2 linked regions of the Arabidopsis thaliana genome follow. The protein of the gene in region 2 interacts with the protein of the main gene of each other region in a pairwise test. Each region holds a gene or a part of one and is shown on either strand. Other genes may lie near its edges.

Region 1 (4,289 bases), on a different chromosome or scaffold from region 2:
ATTTTAGTTCGTTTCAAAATCTTTTTGGAAACCATTTTAGTCAAAAAATATACCAACAGTTTTCTTAGTTTTCTTAAGAAATTGTTATGTGAAATGTTTTTAGATACATCAAAAATAGTTACAAATTTCAAATATAATCTGTAAAGCCAATAAATGAGAAAATAAAGAGGAAAAGAATAATAAAGTAGGAAAAGTGGAGATAAATTATTTAACGTAAATTTACCTATCATAAATTATATATAGTATTAGCATTTTAAATTTTAAATAGCAAAAATACGAACTCTATAGATTTACTATCACAATTACATATTAAAAAATGATTTCTACTAATTAAGAGATGAAAACAAAAACACAGACTAATTTCAAAAAAAAAAAAAAAGACATATTTAAAGTTATTTTTTTCGTAAACAATTATATTTTCCTATATACTTCCAATATTTTAAATTAAAAACACATGATCATAACAATACCAAAAAAAAAAAATCAATGCATATTGTCCTCTTTTTTTTTTGTTCATGATCTGTTCTTGAACTTCTCCATTGCTCTTGGAGCTGAAAAAAAAACACGAGCATTATTGGAAAAACAGAAAAGAGCCACTTATAGAAACGAACAGAAAAGAAAACTTACCAAGTCCAATTGCTTCGGATCCTTTCATTATGCGCAAACGTTTGCATGACTCGACAAACATCCTGAAATCGGGATTTGGGTTGGTGACTAAATTTAGAAATCTATTGAAAGTGAAAGAATATGTGCCAGCTACAAATGAGGTAACATATTGATGAGTTAGTATTTATATATAAACATCTTCTCTGTCTCTGAGTTCTGTCCCATGCCAACCAAAAGATGGCTGTGCGTGTTTATAACACATGGATATTGATTATCATTTTGTGTATTTTTTTGATAAGTAATATCAATAATAATGCTTTAGAGAATATTGTTTTTTTTGTTTAGAGAATAATTTTGGTCATAATAATGAAAGCAAGAAGAATGAGGAAACTCACGGCCAGGGGACATCACCAACGAGCATCCAGTCACCATCTTTGTCCTCGTAGCTTGGAACATACTCAGAACTGTTCAACAGATCCATCACTTTACTCTCGTTCATGAAATCTATCATCCCTTGTGCTCCATAACTCCCTTAATTAATCAAAATCCCAAAACTTATCATATTAATTAGTCGTATATGGAAAAAACTGTATCGTTAAAAAGAAAAAATTGTAAGTAAACACAAAAATAATAATGATAATTCGACTTATATGTCTGAAAATGCATACCCATGGTAAAGGAGCTGAACATTTTGGCCAAGGCATCAGAGAGATCCTTGTAGCTGGTGTACATCTTGAGGTCAACCTTCCGAAGATAAGGAGCTCCATCCATGGAAACCTTCACAAAGGCGACGGTTCCTCCACCACTACTCATTGCCTCCTCTGCTTCGCCGCTCTTCTGATTAGCCATAACATTTTTCCGGTAGTTCCTCACCGGTGGCCAACCCACCACTTGTGCTCTGCATAGAATATAACAACACACACACACATTCAATAACGTTATTACTTATGCATCCTTACATCTTTCATATATATGTATTTTAAGAACTTTTATATCAACTATTAGTCTTTTTATCTCAAAAAAAAAAAAAAAAAGTCTTCCCTTTTAAGGAAGGTCTTCTTCTTAAGGAATTGTGTAAATAGAACTTACTTAGCAGGAGGCTTAGAAGGGTCTTTAAGGAAGGTCTTCTCCTTGGGAGCTCCATTAGTGTTGAGATCCACATGTCCTTGTTTGTTAGATTGAAGATTAAGTTTGAGATCAACGGTCTCGGAGAAGCCTCTCTTGTTCCCAACACCCGACTTGGCCGGACTTTCAACGGTTTCAGTGCCTCCGGGGAGGCCAAGACAAAGCTCCGTCTCCTTAAGGTTCATATCTCTTCTTGCTGTCTATATATGTCTTAAATCAGAATATGTTTTCTCTCTCTCTCGATAACTCTTGTTGGGGGTGAAGTTTGATAAGAGGGGAACAAGAATGAGGTAAGGAGATAGAGTCGATAATATAAGGGACGAAGAAAGAGACTATAGTACTATACTATAGTGGTAGAAAAAAAACGGTTTAAACCCGTGATTAGTCGTCTGACTTTTCTAATTCTTTAACTATTAAAATACAAAGGTCTATTGTGTATCTGCTGTAGTGCATGGAATCCCTACATTTTCTTGCAATGTGGGTTCTCAACACGTGGCCTTCTGCTAAACGTTGGTAGGTTGTTTTAGTAAATCTCACTCTTTCATGTCAATAACCTGAAAAGTATAGGTGATGAGTGATGACCGTTGATTGTTGAATGATATTGTTACATCTCTTAGGTTTTGAAAATACGAACATACGTTTGCCCAAAATATGTTAAGTAAATAAAAATGAAAATATATTAAGATTCCGAGTAAATAAAAATGATATTATAAAAACATGAGTACCTCTTTCAACATGTCTAAGTAATGTCTTTATTGATCACTTCTATGATTAATGTACTTTTTTAATTGCCTACCAATTTGTTAGACGTTGCCTCCATTGGTCAACTCTTCACGTATCACATCACATGTATACAGAAATTGGGCGGTAAAAATTCCGTGAATCGTATTTGGTCAACATTATTATATGATTTAATCATATAATTATATTTCTTAAAACTTTCGAAGTCAGCATCGGTGAAAATAGTTATGACCAACTAAGTTTGATCCTAATTAAGACGTACAACAAATAATCAATGATAACAATCTTAGTATATATTTTACTTCAATTTGGACCATCTTCTCTCAACATTGTCCTGAAATTCCGGGAAATGATGGGGCAATTTTAGGAAAATGGGCTTGTTCAGTTGTCCATTAAATCATTATTAAAGAGCATAATCAAATTAAAATAAGCTTGTCTTCCGAACCTTCCAATCATGTGGTTCAAGTATAACCACACATGAACGTATAATTTGTTCGACGGAAAGTGCGGCTTTGTGACTATATTTATTAGCATGCTCAATTACATTTTCTTTGTTTAGACGTATTATAATCAAATTTCTTATCATTGATTTTAGTTAATCATTGGATATCAAAAATAATAAGAATATAATGAGCCGTTCAAAACTTAAATAAGCTAAAAGTGCACATGGATTTTACTTGCGATCTCTATATAAACTATACCACCCATTGTTTTGTGGTTATGGGATAATATCCTTTGGAAATCTTTGGAAATAAAATGACTATTATTTTAGATACAATAAAATATTCCAATGATACATAATCCTTTTAATTAATAACACCATAATGAATACTTTACTTAAAAAGTTAAAATATCCAGCAAAAGTTGATATTCAAATCTGATGAAAATATTAAAAGTTACAATCTAACTGAGTATTAGTAAATCAAGATCATGTAAATTTAATATTATCGACATATACAGTCATTTATATTTATTTTTATTAGTATTCAAATAATTATTATAAAACTATTTGGTTGATAATATATCGTTAAATTTGATCATATTACAAATAAACATTTCTTTTATGTCAATAACATTACTTACTGAGTGTTAATAGCTCAATTGTTAAAGACTATAAGACAAAACCTAGAAATCACCAGTTGTAATGACATTTGGAAAGAAACCATATAAAATGCTCTAGTTTGAGAGGACGTATGTTCCTAGGCCTAAACTTTTTAGTAATAAAAATAAAATAAAAAGCAACATCACTTATGCGGAAGCCTATCATATATAAACAACATTAATTAGCACAAACCATTAGTAAAACAGATGCACTACATTCATGATGGACTATTTTAGCATTAGCTTCCGAGTTCCGAGAGCCCAACGAATAATTCTACTTGCACTACATTGGAGATTTCTGGTAAACTTGTTTCTACTTATCTACGTAATTTGCCGTTTCTACTTTCTAGGAGCATAGAAAAATTAAATAAATGTTTTGCCCAAGAAGTAGTCTAATTATTTTCAGATTGGTGGTGCACTGTCGAACAAAGACACATTGCTTGTTCCTTTTTTTGGTTTTCTTGATAGCAAGAACAATCTAATAACCCAAACAATACTAATTTTTGAAATCCTTGAAAGATCGGATTTTATTAACATTTAATGCATAGAATATGACTGAAAAACACGAACAGTAGATATTTATTGATGGGTAACTCGATCTCCGACCTATATCCACAAGAAAACACATCTTCCCTAGTCAAAGTACTATTCAATTGAATCCGGTGAAGATAGTGAGACAAGTCACATCCAATTGGGGAAGCAATAAACATACCAAA
Region 2 (3,990 bases):
TTTTTCACCTTGGGGTAATTGGAGAAGTTTGTTTTCAGGACATATTCAACGTTGATGGGATCAGCTATGTATGTATAAGTAGTGAATGGCATTGGAACCACTACTGTTCTTGAGTTATAAAGATACTCAACGAGCCAATCATGCATTCGATCAAAATTAGTTAACTGTTCGATCGCTGCTCCAACCAAAGGCCAAGTCTTTGGACCACTCTTGTTTCTTTGTCCCCATCGGTGTAAGAAGATCCATGATGTTACCATACAAGCTATAACCAAACACAACGACATTTTTTACCTCTTTGAATCTGAAAAATAAGTTCTAAATAAATTCATAAGAGTTTTTATATTGTTTAGCAATCAGACAAAGTTTGTGACCAATCTACTAATCAACTAACACTCTTTTTTATTATGCCTTCTTTGCAACATTTCTTTGGTGTGTATTCTTTCTTAAACAAGTTTGGTTTCGTGGTTTTGTTAAACCGTGTTTGGTACACCAAAACCGGTCAAAATTGAAATTAGCAAAAAGGGTCCACATATTTATGATAAGTTACATCCACTAATGTTTGAGTCTGCGCAGACTGAATCAAAATGTGGTTTAATGTACGATGATGACGACAAGTAACATTCGTTATCTAATAAAACGACAAAGATAAGTACCCAAAATGCATTGTATCTGGCGTTGATTCCTCCACACGTCATCGACTTGTTCATTCCAAGTTAACGTAATCTCAATCTCTCTTTTTATCATTTTAAAAACATCGTAAGTTACAAAAGTCTTTTGTTTTATTAGTTCGTAATGTAAATCAACTTCGTGACTTCGTCTTATCATGCTGAAACAACTTAATTTTTAATTAAACATTGTTTTTCATTTCACATTCATATGGGAGAAATATAAAATCCCATTGGGTTTTAGTTATAATATTTTACAATTTTCATTCATGTACCCAAACTAACCAAATATCTACCAAAGTAACTTTTCAAGCACATCTTTTCTTGTTTCTTCTTCTTTTTTACTGACCCCATCACTAAAACTTAAACATCGCTTGACGATGATGGTTTAAGATCTCGTCTTGGTTAAACTGAAGGTCCCCGAACCAACTAGACTCCGAATCAGGTTGATGAAGATGATCGAACTGACTAAAATTATCAATGTGAGAGACGGGTCCCATGTAATCCATTTCCAACAAATGAGCCAGCGAACACGTCCTTGGAAGTTTCATCGACGTCATCATCATTATCTCTTCTTCAGTTCTTCTCTCTGCTTCGTTAACTACAACTTTTGTCTCATCCTCCATTAGTACTTCGTCCATGAAACCCTCTTGCTCATTCAGAAGCTTACTTGCTCCTCTCTTCTTGTATATCCTACACAGTACCCATTCATCTAACTGCAAAAATATAAAGAAAATTAACATTTTCACAAGTTGTAATAAAATATACAAGAGCTATAAACTTGTTTCCTCTGCTTACGTACCCTCATGGAACCGTTACGTTTCGTTGATGCTTTACGTGAATCATGGAGACGATACTCATGCATGATCCAGTCAGTTTTGATTCCTTTAGGAGGTCTACCTTTGTAGAAGACTAGAGCTTTCTTGACACCTACGTTACTTGAACCGCTGTGAATGGCTTTGTCTGTACCGGTTGCTTTCCAATAACCGGAAACAGCTGCCCGGTTTGGTCTGACTCCGTTTGGATATTTTCTTTCTCTAGGGCTGAAGAAATACCACTCATTTTCTCCAAACTCTGTTTTCTCTGTAAATACAAAACGAACAAAGCAAATAAGGAAAGTAGCTCTAAACATGAACATCTAGAAGAATAGGTTATCATTGAGAGATAAACCGGGTCTAACCGGGTAATTGCCATGGGTCGAATTTGTAGATATCAACTTCTGGGATGATGGAGACAGGGCATGGTTTAGACATGGTCTGGTTTCGAAGATAGTAAACGATGAGTTCTTCGTCGGTAGGATGAAATCTGAACCCTGGAGGGAGGGTAGATTGGGAAGTTACTTCCATGATTTTCAGACAATTTAGAAAACAATCTAATAGAACAGGAACTGTTTTTTTTCTTTCTGTGTTAGTTTTTGATGTTCTCAAGGTTCTTGAAATGTTTAGAAAGCAGAGAAGGTTTGGGTTTTTATGCTTGAGCTTTTTGTCGTTTACTGTGCGTCACTTCTTTCTTATTGGTTGGTACATTGGAAAATTAAATAATACTTCATTTTGTCCATCTAATAGTCTAATGTCCTATATTATCCCTATCCTATTGTTTTTTTCTAATATACTAAATTTTGTCAAATGGTCATCAAACAGCCACGGTTAAAAAGCTTTTAAAAGGAATTTGAATAAGATGTTGGAGTGTGACTGGTGAACTTATTGAGTAATTATTATTGTTCTTCACCTCTAAACACGTGACCTAAAAGTATATACTTTTAATAAAGCTATAATTCCTTAAAGTAGCTGAAACATTTTTCAGTTTAAATGATAATGTTACTATTGGATGACATATACTTAACAAAATACTGTATATAGTATGATAAATTATTTATTTTATTCTAAAATTTGGTTTACAATAGTCACACTCTTTGTCTTTCATGATTACTGATAAACATGATCAATCTAATCATGTTTATACTGATAATATGATATATATAGTCAATTCGGTATTTTGTAGTAACTTTTAAAGTTTTGTGTTCTATTGTTTGTAGAAATCGCAGATAGGGCCGGTTGTGTCTATAATTAATCATTCATAAAGCTTCATTATACGTTTTATGAAGAAGAATTGAGTCAGAATTATCAGGTAGCGTAGAAAATAGCTTTTGGTTGTGAAGATTCTAAAGGTCTTCGTGGACATATAATTGAGTGTGCTTGACCACTGATTTGTTTGGATGCATTGCATGGCTTTAGTATTAATAATTTAGGTGAATCTCCATTTCAAAGAGAAGTATATTCATTTGTCCTATTTCCCCAAATATTCGTTCTTCATTTCGCTATTATTGCTTTCCTCCTATCTTTGTCTACCCTATCCATTATCCAAATGTAAGCCCAACTATCAAAAGTCATAAGCAACATTATTTTCTCCACGATATAGTTTGCATGACAAAATATACACATCAATAACTTTATACTGCATATATAATAATACTGATATCTCAATAATCAATAACATACGTTTTTCATAAAACAAACTAGTAATTAAAAAGAATCCAAAGGAGAAGTACTAAAGAACTTGTATAACATAAAAACTAGTGTGAAGACCATTCTTGGTCTTAATTTTGGAAGAAACGTGGCATGCTACAAGGCTTGGGGGGTCCAATTTTTTTGCTTCTGAATGACGTGTCATTTTCACATAAAAAGTCATTAGGGATAAGGATTGTGGAGGGCATACACCCACGCGCCACGGCGGATTTCTGATTAAACAATAATTAGATGTCACTAATTACGCATGTTCTTATCTAATGGTGTCATTATTATTCCCTAATTGGGTGATTAAATCTTTGTTTACTACATTTGTCCAAAAAACTCCACACGCTCAATTCAGACTGGACACAAGTTTCTTGAAAATGGGTTTTGTGAGATTACTACAAGATGCGAAGGAACGTTCCAGCACAAAGTGGGAAAGAGGAGAAAAAACAAGTTCATGATTAGCTGTTTATTCTTGTTAATTTCATGATTTTGTTTCGCTATTGCCACAAATAATTGTTCATTAAACCGTTATAATTAAGTGGCGCATGAATATCTTTTAAAATTTTTCAAGAAACTACCTTGTTAATGGACAATCTAAAAATGCTATTCTAACAAATTAAAAGACCCCAAAAGCTATTTTACACAAGTGTACATGTATTATACTATATTTCAAATGGCACATGATTCATCATATGTTCATATACATCACCAAGCCAATTTTATATACTTACTATATAGGGCATGGGACAAAAAGGATAGGATTAAAAGATATGAGGATTAGGATGAGATGACGCAAACAAAAGCTCTAGCAT

What was found.
Region 1: the proteins of NAP (region 2) and IAA14 interact in a two-hybrid assay, tested with the Arabidopsis thaliana proteins (one study listed by BioGRID).

Annotation. Positions count from the first base shown.
Region 1 is NC_003075.7:8,348,008-8,352,296, forward strand, and holds IAA14 (indole-3-acetic acid inducible 14), read right to left. Parts: upstream 2,257-4,289; 5' UTR 1,917-2,256; coding exon 1,696-1,916; intron 1,505-1,695; coding exon 1,275-1,504; coding exon of another isoform or gene 1,174-1,274; intron 1,138-1,173; coding exon 1,002-1,137; coding exon of another isoform or gene 998-1,001; intron 690-997; coding exon 572-689; downstream 1-571. UniProt on the Arabidopsis thaliana protein: Aux/IAA proteins are short-lived transcriptional factors that function as repressors of early auxin response genes at low auxin concentrations.
Region 2 is NC_003070.9:26,120,254-26,124,243, reverse strand, and holds NAP (NAC-like, activated by AP3/PI), read right to left. Parts: upstream 2,165-3,990; 5' UTR 2,012-2,164; coding exon 1,846-2,011; intron 1,749-1,845; coding exon 1,468-1,748; intron 1,382-1,467; coding exon 1,022-1,381; 3' UTR 730-1,021; downstream 1-729. Other genes in the region: CYP704B1 (cytochrome P450, family 704, subfamily B, polypeptide 1), read right to left, coding at 9-284. UniProt on the Arabidopsis thaliana protein: Transcription activator that binds to, and transactivates the promoter of the abscisic aldehyde oxidase AAO3.